5 linked regions of the Xenopus tropicalis genome follow. The protein of the gene in region 3 purifies or fractionates together with the protein of the main gene of each other region. This does not show direct contact. Links are inferred from orthologs where the notes say so. Each region holds a gene or a part of one and is shown on either strand. Other genes may lie near its edges.

Region 1 (4,202 bases), on a different chromosome or scaffold from region 3:
TAATTCAGAATTTTTAAACTGATTTCCTTTTTCTCTGTAGTAATAAAATAGTATCATGTAACTGATCCCAACTTAGATATAAATAATCCTTATTGGGGGCAGAACAGCCCTATTGGGTTTATTTAATGGTTAAATGATTCCCTTTTCTCTGTAATAATAAAACAGTACCTGTACTTGATCCGAACTAAGATATAATTACCCCTATTGGGTTTATTTAATGGTTAAATGATTCCCTTTTCTCTGTAATAATTAAACAGTACCAGTACTTGATCCCAACTAAGATATAATTACCCCTTATTGGGGCAGAACAGTCCTGTTGGGTTTATTTAATGGTTAAATGATTCCCTTTTCTCTGTAATAATAAAACAGTACCTGTACTTGATCACAACTAAGATATAATTACCCCTTATTGTGGGCAGAACAGCCCTATTGGGTTTATTTAATGGTTAAATTATTCCCTTTTCTCTATAATAATAAAACAGTACCTGTACTTGATCCCAGCTAAGATATAATTACCCCTTATTGTGGGCAGAACAGCCCTATTAGGTTTATTTAATGGTCAAATTATTCCCTTTTCTCTGTAATAATAAAACAGTACCTGTACTTGATCCCAACTAAGATATAATTACCCCTTATTGGGGGCAAAACAATCCTATTGGGTTTAATTAATGGTTTATTATTTTTTAGTAGACTTAAGGTATATAGATCCAAATTAAGGAAAGACCCCTTATCCGGAATACCCTTTGTCCCAAGCATTCTGGATAATGGGTCCTATAGACATATCTATATATATTCACCAAAGAAAAGTGGCACTGCTGCAAACTCGTGCAAAAGGACTTAGCCCGTTGGTACAGGCTCACATACAAAAACCCACCAAAAAAGTCCTGCCAAAAAAAAAAAAGAGTCTTACCAACAAGTAAAAGGTGATATTTGTGAGAAGGAAGAAAAACATTTGGGTTACCCTGACTCGGGTTAAAATAGTAGATAATATTTGTTATTAGTATGAAAGGGTATAATATTTTCAGTAGAATTTCCATTCAAAGGATGGAACAGAAAGCATCATTACAACACTCACATGACACAAAACCCATAGCTGTTTTGAGGCTAGCTATTGCAACATTGTTTCAGGATTCCGAAACAGTAGTGCTGAGACTATAAACAGCCAGGCATTTACTGCCTTCACTAGCAATTACATTTACATATAACTTCGAAAACCACTGAAAACCATTTAAAGTACAGGTATAGGACCCCTTATCCGGAAACCCATTATTCAGAAAGTTCCAAATTACGTAAAGGCTCCATTAAAAATTCCATAGACTCCATTTAAAAGAAATAATTCTAATTTTTAAAAATTATTTCCTTTTTCTCTATAGTAATTAAACAGTAACTTGTACTTAATTCCAACAAAGATATAATTAATGCTTATTAAAGACAAAACAATCCTATTGGGTTTATTTAACATTTATATGATTTTTAGTAGACTTAAGGTGAGTAGATCTAAAATTACAGAAAGACCCCTTATCTGGAAAACCCCATGTCCCGAGCATTCTGGATAACAGGTCCCATACCTATAATATATATTGCAAAGCTGTCTTTACAGGACAAAAGTAAAGAGAGGACATCAAAGCATCACAGATGCTTTGAAGCTAAAGAATTGATGTAAAAACAGATAAATACATATTGTACATGTGAGGAACAAACTAAGATGTTTACGGCCCATATCCTATCTTGGTCGCTGGGAGTGGAATGCTTAGGCGGCTGAAGCACATGACCTAGCCACATTCCAACGGGAGACATCAGTGCATCAGGGCTTTAACACTCGAACAACTCTAGCCGCTTTAAGGGATAGGGATAGGCGGCCGAGAGTTTGGCTAAATATGTCCATATTGCCCAAGCAATTTAGGGCACGTACAAGGAGACCTAGAATGTAAAGCCATAGGACTGCTAAAGACTTCAGCAACCACAAAACTTAGGGCCCTTCATACCAAACCTGCCCTTTAAGTCTCTAGGCTTGTGGGTCAAATACTGGTTGGCCCATGTATGGCCACCTTAACAAGAGATAATGCCCTCTGTACAAACAAGCTCCACCCTTTATTGTTACTGTTTTGAATTAGAAAAAAAGCAGAAGCCCATTATGAATGGGAATATCTGTCAGGCTGCAATCTAATTACTCACCTTGCAAGACATGGGGTAGCCTCAGTTTCTCAGCTTGCCCCTGTTCCAGCTCAAAAAAAATTAACAAAACCCATAGATCTGTCGCGATTCAAATAGGCAAAAAAAAACAAAAAACTAGTTGAGCTCAAGCCAATTTATTAGTAACCCTTTGTTGTTGAGTAAGACGGATAGTGCTTCTTTAATTTCATATCCTACATAACTAGGTGAAAAATGAGCTGCTGCAGGCTGCACTGATTTATGTACAGCCACGCAGAACGCAGTTTAATAGCTGATTGGCTACACAGCATGTAGGGGTTTTCTGTGGCGTTTAAAAGGAAAACATGCCGTCAACGAGGTAATACATTCCAAATATCAAAGATCTCAATGTCACCTTATTTACAAACTAGCCAGGAATGCAGCGCATTCCTTATGTTGGGGCTGGGTCTCACCTCCATACCCCGACATTTTTATCACCCCTCATGTATTGAACCTACCACCTAAACACCCCGTTTCACCCCAAAACCTCTCTCCACTCTATCTCACCTGGCCTCTCTGGGTGCTGATACTCGTTGCCATGGCTTCTGAACAGCTCTTATCTCTCCGGTCTCGTCTTCTCCAAGACACTTCCTGTTTTAGCTGCTACACCCTCTAACAAATCTGTCACCTGACTTGCAGCGCACACGCATGCGCAGTAAGGCATCAGACGCTTGCGGTTTTAGCGGCGGCTCCGCTAGCAACTCGGTCACCTGACCTGCCGGACGCACGCATGCGCAGAATGCCTAAAGTGCCTCAGGACACAGGTTGGCTCTTGTTTTTGAGGATAAAATATAGAAACTGAAATGATAGAAAAATTATTAAGTACATATATGTCAGGAAACTGTTCCCTATGGGTGTCGTGTGTGATTTTATATCAGTATTGGTTAATTCTGTCACAGGCCATAAATCCAACTTTTAAGTGGGAAATTAAATAACTTTTTCAAATACATTTTTATTTTATATGTTATTCATGTCATACAGTTGCTCTCTACTAAATGCAAAACTGTGAGGAAAAAATACCAGCCTTGCTATCTTTGTGTGAATGAGTACAATTCTGTACAATTGTGTGTAAAACAGAGTAAGAATGTGTAAGTGTGTAAATGGGTGTGTAAATATTTGTATTGTGTGGGTGTGTCAAAGGGTGTGTAAGGGCGTATAAAGGGGGCATTTGCTAACGTTCGATTTATTTTTTCACAGTTGGAACATATGTGCCAAAATACGATTTATTTACAGGAAAGTTGATTTACAGAACCGCAGGAAATCCGAAAGAAAAAATGCGCCATCTAAAAGCTGCTGAGAGCAGAAGTCAATGGCAGGTGTCCCTTTTTACAACTGGAAGGTATTTCCTCACTTATGAAAAAGCTGCCGTTTTTTGCATTTTCCCGTGTCTTTTTTATTTGTTTGTGCTTTTTCAATTTGGATCTTTTATTAAAGCCTTTTTATTGTGACTTTTGTGAAAACGAGTTTAGACATGAGTTTCAAAATACTGTAAAACCATGAAAATCAGAATGTTAATAAATCTGCCCTTTAGTATATGTAGGTGCAGAAAATAATGTGTAGATGCATGAAACAGCGCGGCATTGGACTGGCCTGCTGGGACACCAGGAGAAAACCCGGTAGGCTCTAGTCCTGTTGGGCCCCACAGGGCTGCCATCAGGGGGGACAGTCATCCAGGGCCCGGACGATTCTCACTTTTAAGGGGGGCCCAGCCTTGATACAGTTTTTTTTAGCTGGGGCCCCCCAAGTACAGGCCCTGTCATTGGTGGTCAACGAGTAATCCGATTGGTCGCGCCCCGTGTGTACATGTAACGTCATAAGAGTGAGGACGCTGCGGGGAGCCGGAGGAGAGAGACAGTCAGCTGGAGGTAGCAGGAGAACACTGGGGGGGGGGGGAGCCGGAGGAAGCAGAAGGATGCTGGGGGATAGCAGGAGGATGCTGAGGGGGGAGCTGGAAGAGGCAAGGGGATGCTGGGGGGGGAGCCAGAGAAAGCAGGAGGACGTGAGGGGGGGCG
Region 2 (4,010 bases), about 72 Mb from region 3:
ATCCTGTTTTTTTTCAACCAAAACTTGCAACCTAGTCAGGAATTCAAAAATAACTACCTGGTTTGGGGGCACTGAGAGCAACATCCAAGGGGTCGGTTAGCAACATGTTGTCCCAGAGCCACTGGTTGGGGATCACTACCCTAGGGCCATGGATGTTGTCCTCTCCTGATGGGTCTACATGGCCAACACATAATCCATTCCTTGGCCTGGGGTTTAGCAAGATTTGGCCCCTGACTTGTTAGTCATCTTACAGCTTCTCCACTGCCAAGAAAAATTCTACCCCTAGCAAGAGTCTGTGTGTGTTGGGTCTCTTAACAAATATCTGCTGCAGTGTGCACTGCATTACAATTATTTCCATAAATCAGGATAGGGAATTTGAATTGATCTTTTAGTTTTATACTATGTGCAGTGAAGTTGCTGTTCTCTATACATGAAATGAAGCACAAGACGCAATCATTTTATTAATCAGTAGGAGCCCCCAACTTGATTTACTCAAACTGGAACCAGGATACTGGAGCAGCTGGACTGTGTGCAGCATACAACACCCAGATATGATTGAAATGTAGCTTGTCAAATGATATGATACTGGCAGAGGCTTTATAAAATATCAAACCTTTAGCTGTAAACACTTCTTTGCATCACTTAACCAGTAATCAATGAATCATTTGCACTTTATTATAAGAGATAATTAATAAGACAATAGATCAGGTGATATTTTGATTTGCTACTTCTCTCTCTGAGGCGGGCATTCTAATTGTGAGGATGCTTGGTACCAATAGATCAGTAACGTCACCTTTGCGGATAAAAATAGAACTGCCCCTTTAAGAGCTCCCTATCCCATTTTACTCTATGTTTACATAACAGTATGGACGCTCCCACTCTTCACTTTATGGAGGGGGGTTAAGTGGCGGAATCTGTTACTGGTTAGCGCACGTTCCTGTTTTATCTAATCCGTTCGCTGCTTGGTAAGAGAGGACCTATCATTTGCGGCAGCTTGTTTCCCTGAAAGCACCGAGATAGATACAGGGCAGGGAATGTTTTGTGTTTGATTATGCAAACTCCGCCCACTTCTCTCCCAACGCCTAATCCAGAGTCCTGTTGCCACGGCACTTGGAAAGCAGCGGGGTTCCATTTGTTGTCTAGAGGGGGAGGAGGAAGGAGGTCGGTCCCGCGAGTCATTCGCAGCCTCTCTCTGTTGCTATCGCGTCGGTTGCAGGGCAGGAGGCAGACGCAAGCGGCTTGTTCCTCGGGAGTGCTGCTGTTTTGCTTTGGGCTGCCGGAGACAGGCCGCGGCGCTTTGGAGGGATTATAACCTTTCCCGTCAGCTGGAGCTGGAAGAAACTACTGGGGAGGGAGGGGAGAGTGCGGCGGTGACAGTAATCTGCGCCACAGGGCAGCCTCTTTGCTCCTAGGATTTATCCGCCACCCGGGCTGGTGAGCTGCGGCATCCGGTGTGTATATGAGCTGCCATGGAGTAGAGGGGGTGCGGAAGTGGAGCTCCCCGAGGGATTGTACGGCTGGCCGGGGACCGTGCATTGGCAGAGGGTGACGGGGACCGTCTTCTCCATGTTTTCCCCCAGTCAGGAGGAGCACTGCGCCCCCAGTAAGGAGCCCGTCAAATACGGAGAGCTGGTGGTGCTGGGGTGAGTCGCACACACACTGACATAGGGCAGAGCACAGAGGCCACTGCCTGTCTCCTCACTATCACAAGCACAAGGGGGGGGGGGGGGGGAGTACAATAACAAAGGACATATCATAAGGGCAAATGGCTTATTACACTGTTTAACAATTGCTTGTTAGTCTCTGTATAAACAACACGCACCCCCAAGCTTCTGCCTTCCAGCTGTTGTTCAACTGCAACTTCTCACATCCCACCTACAGCATGTTAGCAGTTTGCAGTAAGGCTACAGATTGGGAATTCCCAATTTATGGAGCAGAACTCAGATGGGCTAGCAAGCTATACTGTATTGCTGGGGGCCCTCACCCACACCCTGAGCCAGCAAGCCAACCGTGGGGGTTGAGATGAGAGGGTACAGCGGAAGTAGTGGAAGTTAAATGCGAATGCATGTTATATTATTGAAAGGTCAGCTTGATCAACACAAGAGCTTACAATTTAGTGAGAGAGGTTCATTTACTAAAATGCCATATTGGCAAGTGAAGCTGAGAGCAATTATATCTATGTGTAACAGCTGCTACCTGGCAGTTAAAGGGCCTGGTTCCATGCTGCACTGTTTGCTTAAAGTTTGTGGGACTCCATTATAAGAGTGGTGGAAGTGACTCAGTACACAGAAGGGGGTGGGTGCAATGTGGAGCAGACATTTACATGTTTAAGGCAAAAGGATAATGGGCCTGCTCATAAGATTTTGAAACGGCGGGGTTTCCTACCTTTTCTTAGGGTTGAACTATAATTCCAAGCACTCCCCGCTGTGCTACATGTATAAGAACTCTGTGTAGTGCAGCCTGGGGGGCACTGGAGATTTTGGGGCTGCATGTCAGCCTCCAGTTGGAAAGTTCTGCTGTGCTGCATGTTGGATCACATTGGCTCACAGCCCTAAGAAGGGATATGCCACCTTCATCAGTCAAGTAGCTGTAGAGTTTCCACTAAAAGCCACATAAAGTTGTATTCCAGCGGGACTTGAAGGGTTAAATATTCAACATCCATGATCTGGAAAGATAAATATGTTTTTGGCCCAAATATTAGGCCAACCCACCCCTGTGTATTCATTGTTGGGAAATCATTTTATAACAGCCAGTAAATGGGAAATCTCCCTGTAGAAGCTCATGCAGCATTTATTTTGTGTTTTAACCCAGGGTTTTACTTCATAGCATTGCATAGCATAGGTATTGCAGGAGTTGTATGCGCTGGCCAGGCAGGGCAAGTTCTACTTCATGGTGCTTCAACATGCAGCCATTTAGTAGTTCTGTTCCTAAGAACTCCAGGTGCTTTTTGCTCAGCTCTCTGTTTTGCTTTGTCATCAGTACCTGCCAAATAAATTTATATATAAACGTCCTATAAAAAGCCTTACTTGACATTGGCTGCGCTTATTCATATGTGCAAAGTATAGGAAACCTATTCTAGGTATGTAATGCCTCAGTGTATCCCGTATTACAGAGGGGCAATATCAGTATACAGGAAGTCATTGTATTTGCTGTGTTTTAGGTCACTTTCCCAGGGGGTTGGTCATGCCTCTTTCTTATTCTATGAAATCCAGTATTTCCTGTGTGAAATCCTCTAACATCTGGATTGCCATTTCTGCTGCATGTTATTGTTTACATATACGTAATGCTGCAGTTTTTCCATATTGCTGAACCACAAAGGGGGGGAATACAAACAATTGCATATCAATGCAGTCCAGTAGAAATGGGATTTAATTGCCCCATTCCTTACTGCTTGCTTTTCCATTTCCGTTATTGGTTTGGTAAGCTGCTGGGGAAATTACAAAATCCCACGCATGCTAATGTGCTTTGTGTGTGTGTTTCCCCCTTTTCTCATTGGAACAGTCTGGTAACAGGATTGATCCAAGATAAAGTGAGGGGTACTTCAGATTGGTAAACGTCAACTTTCCTTCTATCCCAGGCTCTGCAGTATGCTTATATGCAGATTGTCATTATCACCATAAATTATAAAGCAGTAACCTATTTTGCAGGGCTGCACAAACTGCCTAATACATAACTGACAGCTGGGGCATGGTATATTTATGATTTACTTAAAAGGCTCAAGGCCCGGCCCTTTAGATCAGATTTAGAGGAGATATCCTAAGCAGCAGTCATGTGAAATACTGCTTTTGTTTTCCCTTTGAGAGCTGCTAGGAAAGAAAGAGTTAAGAAGGAATTTACCAAATATTTTAGGCTTGGCTTTTAATGAGTGCATGTGCTCTGGTATTTTATTTACCACTAAGGTATTTTATTTAGCCCACCCCCTCCATCTGCTATTGCATAAGCAGCAGCAGCACTTCAAAAGTGAAACGGAATACTGGAAAAGTAAAGCAACAATGCCAAAGACTGGAGTT
Region 3 (3,844 bases):
TAGTAGAAAGATCCCTTATTCGAAAAACATCAGGTCCCGAGCATTCTGGATAACAAGACCCATACCTGTATAAGCAATCATCCTCCTAATTGGCCTTTATAGTAGGACCCCTTCAACAGTGTTGGGCCTACCTTAGAGGGCCAGTTTGGGAACCACAGTAGGCAAGTGAATATGTAACTTAACTTTTAAATAGGGTATAATGTTTTTTTAATGAGCCAATATGCTCTGCTGGCAAAGTTTTATGGTGGCTCTATGCAGAAGGTATGGGAGGGGGGATGAAAGTAATCACCACCCTCTTTCAACTTTCTACACTCAACTAAGTCAGACCAAGCCCTAGGGGCCCTCAGGCTATACCCTGTTACTAGCTTTTTGAAAGGGCAGTATAACAGTACAAGAGGGATATTGAAGTTGATGAGGATGGTTGAGCTCAGCCTACAGAGAGCAATGGAGTCTTATGCAAGACTGAAACTACACGAAAAGAAACGAGAGCAAAACAAAGAAGTGGGAACTAATTAACTTTGATATTTCCATAACAGAAATACAAAGGGGATAGGTTCTGTACATAGAATGATTTTTTGTAACAATCCCTAAAGCACCAATAGTGCTGCCACGTGTTCTTCAAAATGTGTTGCTCGCCCCCTGGGCCTACCTTGGGATGCCCCTGATGTTGAGCTGCCACTTCCTGACAGTTCATTGCAGTAATGTCTCTGCCTGGGCTGAACTGCTAATTGGTTCTGGTACTGCACAGGAGGAATTGGGTCCTGGACAGATACCCTTGGTAATACAGGCGATATGCTCCCTTGCACTCCGCTGGGGTAGAGAATATGTTGGTCACTTGGTCCCGCTGAATTATCAGAGCCACTAAAATCTGGGAAGCTTTCATCACTCTCCACTGGTGTGTTCTGAGCGCCCCGAAATGTTTTGAGGCTTTGGCAGGAAAATGAACTGCATAAACTGTCCACTTTGGCCTGGTGCTGGGTGTGAGCTGGGGTGTAGGGTTGAACACTGCCCTTAACTGAAAGCCCACAGGGAGTATATTTGTCTGTGTTTTCCTCAGGGGTGAGAGGCAAATCCTGGACACTAGATGCCAGCTCATGTATGGGGGAAAATCCTCGCCTGGTGGATACGCAAGGTGGAGTAAAAGAAATTCCATGACCCTTTCCCAAATGTCGTCGGTGGAGATGCTCTTGTAGCCGCTTTAGGGTGAGAAAGACCTAGGAAAGCAAAGCAAATCAAACAGTTAACCAGCGAAATGACTGGACTTCAATGAATAAAGATATTGTTAAAGAGATTATTTTAAAGGGCAAGTAAAGCCCTAGCAAAACATGGCTTGAAACCATCAGTAATAAAATATAACCTAGAACCTATTCAGGGAAGCAGAGGCTGGATATAAAATAACAATGCAAGGGGCTACTGTACAGATTCCCACATAGAGTAAAGGTGGCCACACACGTGGCGATCTGACAATGTTTCGTGCGACCATCTGACGATGTTTCGTGCGACCATTTTATAACCTGGCCGATCGGCGAGTCGACTGATTTCAGCAGCTTCCTGTGATATCGGTCGGCTCGCCGACATGCCATACATGCACCGAATATCGTACGAAACGAGGTTTCGTACGATATTATCGGTGCGTGTATGGCCAGCTTAACCCTATGCTTGGTCAAGCTTAACTAAAGCGCTTCCTCTACTGTCCAAGTTATTCCAGCAGTGACTTCCATACAGCTGTGTCATGGAGGCAGTGGCCTTTTTATATGCTGTACCCACACACATACACACATTAGGAAGATTGCAATAGCTGTAGGGCCAGAACAAGGGGCAGGCTGGGGGAGGTGCAGTTGGGGGGGGGGTAGAAAACAGTTGAACTAAGTGTGAACCAAGGTGGGCTGTGTGGCCTTTCCTTGTGAATGCCCCAGGAGTTGGTTTGAGAGCAAATGAATGGGGAGGTGGAGGGGTAGACAGGTAGAGCTCTGGACCAAGTAGTATTGCCCCAATATAGCTTGATACAAATCTGGCTACATGTCTAAAGTTAGCCCTGCAGGGGCTATATGGCACAGTCCATTCTTTGGGTAATATGTTTTTATCACTAGATGGTGCTGTTCTATTACAGCTGATGAAGTATGGCTCAGCAAAGATAAGCAATATGGCCGGCCCCAAGCAATTTGTATTATTAACTACATCAAATCTGAACACAAAACTAAACTTTTAACTTGTTTCATAAAAAAAAATAATTAGGATTCAGTCCCTGTAAAGTGTTACTGTACCAAAAAAGGGTTTTATTGCATAATTAATATAAAACGTACTTCTATGCAACTTCCCAATATACATTCATTATACATTTTCACTGGTTTAAGCTTGTTAGTAAATGTATTTACCACTGAAAGTAGTGTCTGTTTTTTTTAAACAATTAGCAGTAGTTCTCCTCCAGGTTCTGTTAGTCAGCTGGTTATGGCAACATCATTCTAGGAGTCGGCCAGCAGTGCAGAGGATATAAACAGCAGCAATTACATTTACAAATAGCTTTAAAGCCATTAAAAATGTCTCATAAATGTATACTGGAAAGTTGCTTAGAATTTCATTATGCAAAAACATCTTTTGGATAGAGATCCCCTTTAATGTAGAGAAGCTCTGTGCTTGAGGGGTAATGTATGGTTCAAAGGCTTTCATGAACCAGGATTTTGCTGATCTGGTACAACCCATACAACTGCCTGTGCACACCTGGCATTTTCAAAGGCAAAGTGTTCTTTTGATAATGTTTCATGTGCACAATATTATGCCGCTTTTGCATATAGTGCCACCCTGCTATACCTTAACAATTCACTGTTTCTGCTAAGAAACTTATTAAGAAATGTTGAGGTAGTCTGCATTTCTGCACAGAGCAGTCACAGTCCAGCTTTTATGGGTTATTCTCTCTAAACTTTGTTGGGTTTTGGCAAACCCCCCCTTTGGAGGTCTATTAGAACTCTACAATATGATCCTGTGTATAAAACTAAGTGGTCTCAGCCACTTGACTTGGCTAGTTTAAGTAGCAGGTACAAAGTCCAAAATACCGCACTCACAGGGCTTATGTGTAGAGATGTATTTTTATTCAAAAGCAGAGCTTTTGAGAGAACTCCCCAGGTCTCTATTCAATTGTACAGAACTTTTAGAGGCTGATTTACCAAACACAGAAGAATACAGTACCTCCTGCATATTCGGTCTCTTCTTTTGACGTCCCAGACACCGACACGCCAGTTGTGAGAGTTCCTGCGTTACTTCTTTAGCGTGCTGCCATACTCTGAAATCTAGGTGATATTGGCATATGCGTGCTGCCACCCGTGCTAGCTTGGCTTCTGCTCCACTTGCCATGCTGGCTCCTTTTTCTTCCTCCTCCTCATCCTTGCACTCTTCTTCCTTCACTAGATCCTTCTGCAAGAGAAGGGAGCTGGGTGAAAAGCAATTCAGTGTTATTAACCTTATAAATATTAGGGGACACTACAGGAAATTCTACAAGGAGATTCCCAGGGACAGACAGAAAAAGACCACCTTTTATGTGACTCCTTACTCACTCTATGATCCCTATGTGTGTTACAGTATGGACCAGCATAAGAAAAGTGTGGTGCATTCCGACCTGTGCCTGGCCACACGTCATAAGGCAGGCTCTGTATATACCATAACAGATAAGGTTTGAAATGCCAGTGTACTGAAGGCAACTGCATTCTCAGCAACAAGGTCCAGCTAGGCCTCTATACCGTCTGGGGTCCCCAGGAAATAAAGGAGAACTACAGCCTAATTAAATAAGTAAGACAGAAATGTACATTATGTTTCGTGCTTCTGTACCACCCCAACCACAGCCCTTTAGCAG
Region 4 (4,193 bases), on a different chromosome or scaffold from region 3:
CTTTCTTACTCATGAGTCACAGTCAAATATAAAAAGACTTGGAGAGCAACACAAGCATCATAAAAGTTCATGGAGGAGCCAAATAAGGGCTAAGATTGGCTATTAGGCAGCCTCTATGCACACTATCAGCTTACAGGGGGCTTTATTTGGTAGTAAATCTTGACTTTATTCAACCAAAACTTGCCACAAAGTCAGGAATTCAAAAATAACTCCCTGGTTTGGGGGCACTGAGAGCAACATCCAAGGGGTTGGTGAGCAACATGTTGTCCCTGAGCCACTGGTTGGGGATCACTGTACTTGAGCGTCTAGTCAGGGTACTGGCCTATTAATTCAGTTACCTTCCTTGCACACCTAGGGGTACATTTACTAATCCACGAACGTCCGAAAAGCGTCCGAATGTGTTTTTTTCGTAATGATTGGTATTTTGCGACTTTTTCGTGAATTGTCGCAAATTTTTCGAGCGCTCAATACGAAAAAGTTGCGACAATTTGCGAAATTCGTAATGGCTATGAAAAAGTCGCGACAATTCACGAAAGTCATAATGGCTATGAAAAAGTCTCGACAATTCACGAAATTTGTAATGGCTATGAAAAAGTTGCGACAATTCACGCAAGTCATAATGGTTATAAAAAAGTCGCTACAATTTACGAAAAAGTCGTAATGGCGACGAAAAAAATCGCAAAAATACGAAAAAGTCGCAAAATGTTCATTTTCCAATCCGAATTTTTCTCATTCGGATTCGTGGATTAGTAAATCAGCCCCCTAGTGTGCTCACAATTCACTAGTACTTCTTCTTGGGGTTCTGATGATCCTGGAATCTGAGCCACAAGATACAACATAGTGAAAAAAGGTATTCACAAAGGGATTCAGAACCTTTTCAGTACTGCTGACCATGGAGGTTATTATGTATAAATGAAATTCCCTGCTAGGGCCAAGAAAAGTAAGTATAAGAAATGTGAGAGATGTATTGGTAGTGTCCCTGCAGCTCTGTACAACCGAACACATTGTTGGTTGGAAGTGACATCACTTTTCCTCAATGAAACAAGTGGGGTCTTAAAACCAATCAGAACTCTAGGCCCTCGTAGCAACCAATTGGCGTAGTAGAAGCTTCCAGAATCCTCCAGCCAATTTCTCCCCAAGCGTGAGCTTACAGCCAGCCAATCGGCTTTAGAAGTAGTGAATGGGCGGGATAAAACAAGGACAAGGAAGTCTTGCTGGGAGAGTCAGCAAGGGGCGTGGGTACGTGATGGATAACAGCATTGACCTGTCAGCGAAGGGAGCTTAAAATGTTCGCCCAATAGTTGCACACTCGGTAGGCGGGAATTGAACTGTCATCGTTTAGTAGGTTCGAGAAGACGCGTGGGGAGGTCGGAATCAGAGGGTTGCAATGGAGGCGGTAAGTGGCAAATTGTTAGTTAAGAGTGATGGGGATATTATAAATGCTAACCCACACACTTGCTCCGCGTTATGGGACAAGTAAGCTTTCCATAGTTGCGGGGAATTTATACTTGTGGGTCAGTCATTAAGTCATGGAGTGAGGGTCTGGGCTATGTGGGATAGCTGTTCTTCCTTTCAGACGATTGGTAACTGCCCTCAATAGCATTCAGTGCAAGAGTAGTTGCAGAACTGCAGCTTCCAGCCGTACTGGCATTGTGGCGTCAGGAGTTATTTTTCTGCCAGTCTCTGCCATCTCATGCCACGTCTGTCAGTTTCTCCAATAGGGGCAATAGCTCACCCTTGTTTCTAGTTTCCATGCTTCTCCTTGGGATTTACGCCTGTAAAACCATCAGCCTGCAGACTGCACTGGTTTCTGTATAGCCATATGGTAGGCAACTTAGCTAATCAACCCTACTCTTATTTATTCTAAAGGTTTACTGTGTATTGTTCACCTAATAAAATTGTCATTATTTGGAACTCCCTCCACCAGCTACTGGTGATCTCTGGTGTAGTAAGAAGTTCATGGGTCCCACAGCAAAATAATTTTTTGGTTACCCTAAAATTTAGAAATAAGACTTTTGCATTGTGATGGGACATTGAATAGTTTCTGATGGGACACAGATATTGAAGGAAAACGTTTAAAAATCTGGATTAATCTGGATTTATGCTATTGTATGTGTACGTCTACATCTTTGAATAAAAGTTTTTACTGAGGCAATTATATTGGCATAGTCATCTGGGAAATCTGTAAGAGAGAATCCCAAGTATTATTAAAGAGGAAGGGTGGGTTCTGTAGAAATGAACTACAGTTCTTAAGACGGCTATAAACTTAAAGGTATTGACAGTAAGTACACGACTTAGTACAAATTCCCTCCCAGTCCTTGTGTCCAAGTAGCATTTAGAAGAGACATGTTTGTACCATGGCTATTGGACATTTTATAGACTGGACAGGTTTAACCATTTTGGTCGGTTTGGCCCAAAGAAACAAATTTCCAGTTGTGTGTAGTCAGAAGATAACCATAGAACAGCAATGGCAAAGGACGATGTACCAACTTTACATGCTTGGCCAGCCTGCCATCTGATCTTTCCTATGAACTTTCACATTTGCAATATATACATCTTCATATTAATAGTTTGTCATTTTATATACAGATGCAGTGGCAGGGTGCACAGATGCAAGTCAGTGTTATTGTTACTTTGCACTCTGTCCCTCCATCAGCACATGTAGGTGCAAGTAAGGACCTGACCATGACTTCAGCACTGCCTGCATTCAGTGTGAGGTAGTTAAGAGAGCAAATATGCCTCAGATGCAGGTGCACCCAAACCATTATTAAATGAGCCCCAGTATTTTGGCCTCTTTGTCTACAAGTGTTATGGAGAGGGATTCACAGTATGCAGCTTGATAATTTTTATGTTACATTTAGTTGGTTTCCTGGAAAAGAAAGTAGCGCTGGCACAGCTGGGCATAAGTAGGGTAATTGAATTGGAGTCCTTTCTCTTACCTATTCCTCTTAGGCAAGGGGCATATGGGGTGTTTTGCTTGATGTTGTCATCTAGTGAACAACAGCAGCATTCAAAATACCCCTGTCTGCCTATCGCAGCTCATTGTTCAGAGCAGTGACAGGTAGAAGGGCAATTAGCCTGCTGCTGTTTTATCTCTGTATGGCAGTAGTGTATAAAATGGCCGTGGGCCACAAGTTTTAGGCTAATGGTACACAGGGCTGGGAATCCCCTGATGTGGGAATTATAGCTACAAAAATGTCTGTAGAACATTAACCTGTGCTATAACAGAAATATATCATGCATATTTTATTATTATTTATGTTTGTCACCAGTTCCTTTCTACTGAACTGAACCTTTATTTTCTTATGCATGTTGCAGGATTAGGCAAAAAAAGAATTTTTTTATTTATTTATTTTTTTTATAGGTACACAGGGATCCAGATATTTTTTATGTATTATGTATATATCTCTTATTTTTATATTCAACCTGCAGTTGAGCATGTTATTATTTGTACTATTTGAGCCAAGGGTGCCTAGCAAGGCATAGTTTGAGGCAATGACATGTTTAAATTCTGCTTTCCCCTTCCCTTCAATTTTCTTTTCAGCCCACGCTGCCCAAAGTGAGTCAGAGTGGGGGTGGCAGCAATTTAGTTCCAGGCACCAGTGGCGCAAGAGTTAATTAAGCAGCAGTGGAAGGCATAGAGATTTGATATCTTTGTACATACTTTCATTATAACAAATGACATATCGTTATGTATATGTTTCAAAATTGTTGTCCCTGTTCTTTCCCATCAGGCAAACGCACTGAAAGAGAAAGGAAACAAAGCACTTTCAGCAGGGGATCTGGATGAAGCAGTCAAATGCTACACCGAAGCCATCAAACTTGACCCTAAAAATCACGTCCTGTACAGCAATCGTTCTGCAGCCTTTGCCAAAAAGAAAGAGTTCACCAAAGCACTGGAAGATGGCGGCAAAACCGTGGAGCTGAAACCAGACTGGGGGAAGGTGGGAGCTGTAGAGCTAAGCATATGTAGTGACCTGTAAACCTGTTGGTAATAATTTGTGTATATCTATAAGTGTCTTATTGTTATCTTTCTATTAGGGTTACTCTAGGAAAGCAGCAGCTTTAGAATTTCTGAATCGTTTTGAAGAAGCAAAGAAAACTTATGAAGAGGGGCTGAGGCACGAGCCAGCAAATGCACAGCTGAAAGAAGGGCTGCAAAATATGGAGGCCAGGCTGGCAGGTACTATAAC
Region 5 (4,090 bases), on a different chromosome or scaffold from region 3:
GTGAACAGGTATTGTTCGTTTGCCTGCTACGTGGGAGCAGCCACCTTTATAAAGGGAAGGTACTCTGGGGCAGGTAGCGCTACCTGGGGGGACTAAAGAGCTCTTGGGGAAGGGACTGAACTAACCTAAGGGTTGTGGTTTATCCGGATCCAAGTGGGGATTGGGCATCTATAGAGACTGTCGGTGCCAGCTGTGGATAAACTACATGGGTTCCTCAGAGCAGGAAAATCAGTTGTACATAAAGTGTTAACTTCCAACTCCAACAGTTATATAAAGTTTAACATTTCTGCCAAACCTGTGTGTGATTATTTCCTAGTGGAAATCCCCTAGAGGTGTGTTCCTCAGTGTCCACTAGGTGGAGGCACTGCGCTGTTCCCAGTTCCCAGTATCAATATTCTTTGAGAACACACATCTCCTGAAAATACAGCCATATATAAGTGAATGTGCCAAGAAAGGGTTACACATACATACCTGTTCTCACCAGGGGACACACACGGAGATTCCACAGAGGACTTTGTAATCCCTGGCAGCCCTGCAGACTCTTCTTTTTTCAGTCTCAACTCACAACATGTGGTACGGGCTGCTCACTCTATATCTCTCCTCCAAAAACTGGCAAAACACCTTTATCAACTGCTGCCCCCCCCTTGATTTTTGGCTCCAAACTGGGGCATCCAGCCAGCACTTGCCTGAGGCTGGAGATCTCCCTATAAAGTTAAAGGGAAAACCCAGCTTCTGCACAATTGTGTCAGATTTGTGACAAAATGTGCATACAGTTGTGGGAATTTTGTCACATCAAATGTAGTTGTGTAGGCGCAATAGTGATTGCAATTCAGTGGAAAAGGCTGCATTGTGGGGAAAAAATGCACTCAGAATTCCACTTTGTTTACTGCACTTGCCTATAAGAGTATATTTCTATACTTTCACTATTGGTTATAAATTAAGAGCAGGCACTGAGAAATGATTTCTGGAAGTTTTAAAAACCTAACAACACTTCCAGAGACAATTTATTTCGGAGGGCAGATAGTACCGTCATATAAGACAGCAAAACGTAAACAAAACAGCAGAGCAAAAAAAAAAAAGACTATATTGTAGAAAGAATTTTCATTTTGTCATGTCAATAAAGTTGTATAAAAAAACTATCTTTCCGAACACGCCTCACTTTGCTTCTGTGCAAGACGACATCACGAAGCCCCGCCCTGCTTTCGCCGCCGCTCTGCATTAGGCCTGCGCTTCTTCGCCTCTACCTGTATGGTCGGATCGGAAGTTGGCCAGCGCATCAGCGGCTACAGTAGTAGCAAGAGAGCCCTCCCCTCTTCCACCACAGGCCCTGGCTCCAAGCAGGCTAGGCCCAGCAGCCCAGAAGGGGGTTACCTGGTCCTTGATGGGCCGGGGCCGCCCGTCACGTACAAGTATTACGGTGGCTCCTGTTAAACCCGCTCTGTTTTCCCCAGCTGTGTACCCCGGCTTCCGCCGGTGGGGTCCCCGATTTCTCTTGTAAGGGCACGGCATGTCTGCCGCCTCTGCTGACATGATTGAGACTCCACCGGTGCTAAACTTTGAGGAGATCGACTACAAGGAGATAGAGGTGGAAGAGGTGAGCCTGCGGGGTGACACGGGCAAATGGGCTAAAGGCAGATCTCCAACCTGCAGCTTTTCATTAACATATAACTTCTAGCAGTTGCTGCCAGTAGTTGCACTTTACTGACCGCAGGTTGGACTTTCCCCGCTTATTGTTTGTAAATATTTAGTCCTATTCATTCTTTGCCAGAGAAAGTTCTATGGAGACAAATCTAGTAGTAAAGACACCCTTAAAGGGGAAGTTCACTTGTAAAGCAGCTATTAGGTTTTTCCTGGCTGGCCTATTCTCGGCAACTATTCAATTGATTATTTCTAATTTATATGTTTTATGGTTTTTTTTAATGATTCCCCCTCCTATCATTGCCATTTTACATGTTGCAATTTGAAAATGTCAGTTTTTTGGGGGACACTGTCCCTCCCCCAATTATATAGCTGATACTTGTCTTTGGCTTGTCTTTGTTTAGAGTTTCTTTCCTTTTCATCTTTCTGACTTTCCAACCACTGCCTGGTTCAAGGTAAACATTCTAAGTTGGATAGCTGCAGAGCAAAATGTGAAATAATTAAAAAAAAACAAAAAAACAAAAGAAATAACTAAAGAACAGTAGCAAACTGTCATAACATTCAGGTGAATTGCTTCTTGAAAGACTGCGTTTGTCCCAGACAACATATCTGTACATTTGCCGCTGATATGAGGCATCAGAGGTGACAGGTAGCCCATCCATTTTTTGTATGATTTATTTCATATATTTCCCAATGGCTTGCACATTCCATGCATCTCCATAGTGGTACAAACTTTGCTTGGAAACCTCTTTTTCTATTGGTTTCATCTGTAATATTAATGCGATAGCAAAACAGATTAATTCATAGTTTGTCAAAGAATTTTGTTTTTAAATTATCAGAAAACACAATGAAAAGACACTTGTGAAGCACCAGTTTTATGTAGTTGTTTTTATTCTTACCGCTGATGCATGTGTTTGAAGTATGACCATATTTATAGCCAAAAATATTGGGTAGGCATGTTTTCTGGTTGTAGTCACATGGGTGTCGTGCCGTACTCATGGTGATTCCTGTTGAATGTAAAGGGGAAGTGATGTTCCTCTAAATTATGTTAATTTACCCCAAATCTTGTCACATTAGTCTTATTGACGTTTTGCTTTTGTGTATATGCCATTTTCAAGCAAAGGCCAATTGGATATTCTTACGGTGGCCATGCACGAGTAGATTTTAGCTGCAGATTCGGGTCCTTTAGAATGATTCAGCAGCTTATCTGCCCATGTATGGGCACGCCTGCCAGGCCTACCTGACTACATCGTCAGATCCGCCACACACCCATCAGAGCTGAAACAGCAGATAAGGAGGAAGAAACAATAGGATTTCTACCTCCTTCTGCCGATTCAGCCCTGACGGCAGATTTTGGTCAGGCGCCTTCTATGGCGCCCGATCAAATTTTTTTAACCGGTCCGATCGGCGAGTCGACCGATATTAGCAGTTTCCTGCGATATTGGTCGACTCGCCGACATGCCATACACGCACTGAATATAGTACGAAAAGAGGTTTCGTACGATAGTATCGGTGCGTGTATGGCCAGCTTTAGATCTGCCCTAAAATTAACCAGATCTTGGTCAGATAGGTTTGATTTTATGACTTATAAGGGACTGCATCATTTGGTCCAAACTTGCCCACCTAACGAGAAGATCCACTCGTTTGGCGAACTCTCCAAACAAGCAGATCTTAAAGTGTGTGGCTGCCTCAACTCAACATTGTGAAAGTTCATCAATCTGGAATCGGTGAAGGATTGTTGTCTGATCCAAATTCCCTTGTACAGGAACATGCAGTATATTTTCCTGTAGAACCATGGGACTTGATAGCATAGGTTAGGTTTAATGAAACCATCAGGGTGAAGACAGACAGAGAAACTAGTCGCTGCGATTTTAAAAATCCAGTCTAGGTGACTTATTGGCCGCCACAAAAGTCTTGGATTTCTTACTGTTGCATGCTATTATGATATCTACTGGGAGCTGATATCTTGCTCCCTTCCCATTGTTCTGCTGATTGACTGCTGTGGGAGATTAATATCGCTCCAACTTGCAGTGCAGCAGTAAAGTGTGATTGAAGTTTTTCAGAGCACAGGTGACATGGCTGTGGCACCCTGGGAAATGAAGGATATGGCTAGCCCCATGTGAAATTTCAAAATTAAATATAAAAATCTGTGTATTTGAAAAATGGATTTTAATGCAGGATTCTGCTTCTCTCTGGAGAAGCTCCATTAACTCATGTGTTTTGGAAAAAAAAACATGGTTTTCCATGACAGTATCCCTTTTAAGGTGCATTTTGCTGGCAGTGCCTCTTCTCATTCTATGTACTGTTAGGGCAAAGACACACGGAGCTGCTTAGTAGCAGCTACTTGCGACGGCTAGAAAACTCCAGAAAATACCCTGCCACAGACAAAACTTGAGAATTGCCTCTACACATGTAGAGACAATTACCAGTAAATGATCAGCATTGTCAATTT

The links.
Region 1: the proteins of irak1 (region 3) and tollip purify together in Homo sapiens (affinity purification with western blotting; 11 studies listed by BioGRID and IntAct, with this or other methods). This does not show direct contact. The link is inferred for Xenopus tropicalis from reciprocal best matches to the Homo sapiens genes IRAK1 and TOLLIP.
Region 2: the proteins of irak1 (region 3) and peli2 purify together in Homo sapiens (affinity purification with western blotting; 7 studies listed by BioGRID and IntAct, with this or other methods). This does not show direct contact. The link is inferred for Xenopus tropicalis from reciprocal best matches to the Homo sapiens genes IRAK1 and PELI2.
Region 4: the proteins of irak1 (region 3) and stip1 purify together in Homo sapiens (affinity purification with mass spectrometry; 3 studies listed by BioGRID and IntAct, with this or other methods). This does not show direct contact. The link is inferred for Xenopus tropicalis from reciprocal best matches to the Homo sapiens genes IRAK1 and STIP1.
Region 5: the proteins of irak1 (region 3) and map3k7 purify together in Homo sapiens (affinity purification with western blotting; 5 studies listed by BioGRID). This does not show direct contact. The link is inferred for Xenopus tropicalis from reciprocal best matches to the Homo sapiens genes IRAK1 and MAP3K7.

What each region holds. Positions count from the first base shown.
Region 1 is NC_030680.2:21,551,441-21,555,642, forward strand, and holds the start of tollip (toll-interacting protein), read right to left. Parts: upstream 2,812-4,202; 5' UTR 2,731-2,811; coding exon 2,698-2,730; intron 1-2,697. UniProt on the Homo sapiens protein: Component of the signaling pathway of IL-1 and Toll-like receptors. Inhibits cell activation by microbial products. Recruits IRAK1 to the IL-1 receptor complex. Inhibits IRAK1 phosphorylation and kinase activity.
Region 2 is NC_030684.2:104,373,035-104,377,044, reverse strand, and holds the start of peli2 (E3 ubiquitin-protein ligase pellino homolog 2), read left to right. Parts: upstream 1-1,202; 5' UTR 1,203-1,566; coding exon 1,567-1,643; intron 1,644-4,010. UniProt on the Homo sapiens protein: E3 ubiquitin ligase catalyzing the covalent attachment of ubiquitin moieties onto substrate proteins. Involved in the TLR and IL-1 signaling pathways via interaction with the complex containing IRAK kinases and TRAF6.
Region 3 is NC_030684.2:32,170,616-32,174,459, forward strand, and holds the end of irak1 (interleukin-1 receptor-associated kinase 1), read right to left. Parts: intron 3,409-3,844; coding exon 3,184-3,408; intron 1,215-3,183; coding exon 588-1,214; 3' UTR 503-587; downstream 1-502.
Region 4 is NC_030680.2:35,680,557-35,684,749, reverse strand, and holds the start of stip1 (stress-induced-phosphoprotein 1), read left to right. Parts: upstream 1-1,381; 5' UTR 1,382-1,387; coding exon 1,388-1,396; intron 1,397-3,734; coding exon 3,735-3,944; intron 3,945-4,041; coding exon 4,042-4,183; intron 4,184-4,193. UniProt on the Homo sapiens protein: Acts as a co-chaperone for HSP90AA1. Mediates the association of the molecular chaperones HSPA8/HSC70 and HSP90.
Region 5 is NC_030681.2:84,978,709-84,982,798, forward strand, and holds the start of map3k7 (mitogen-activated protein kinase kinase kinase 7), read left to right. Parts: upstream 1-1,279; 5' UTR 1,280-1,507; coding exon 1,508-1,594; intron 1,595-4,090. UniProt on the Homo sapiens protein: Serine/threonine kinase which acts as an essential component of the MAP kinase signal transduction pathway. Plays an important role in the cascades of cellular responses evoked by changes in the environment.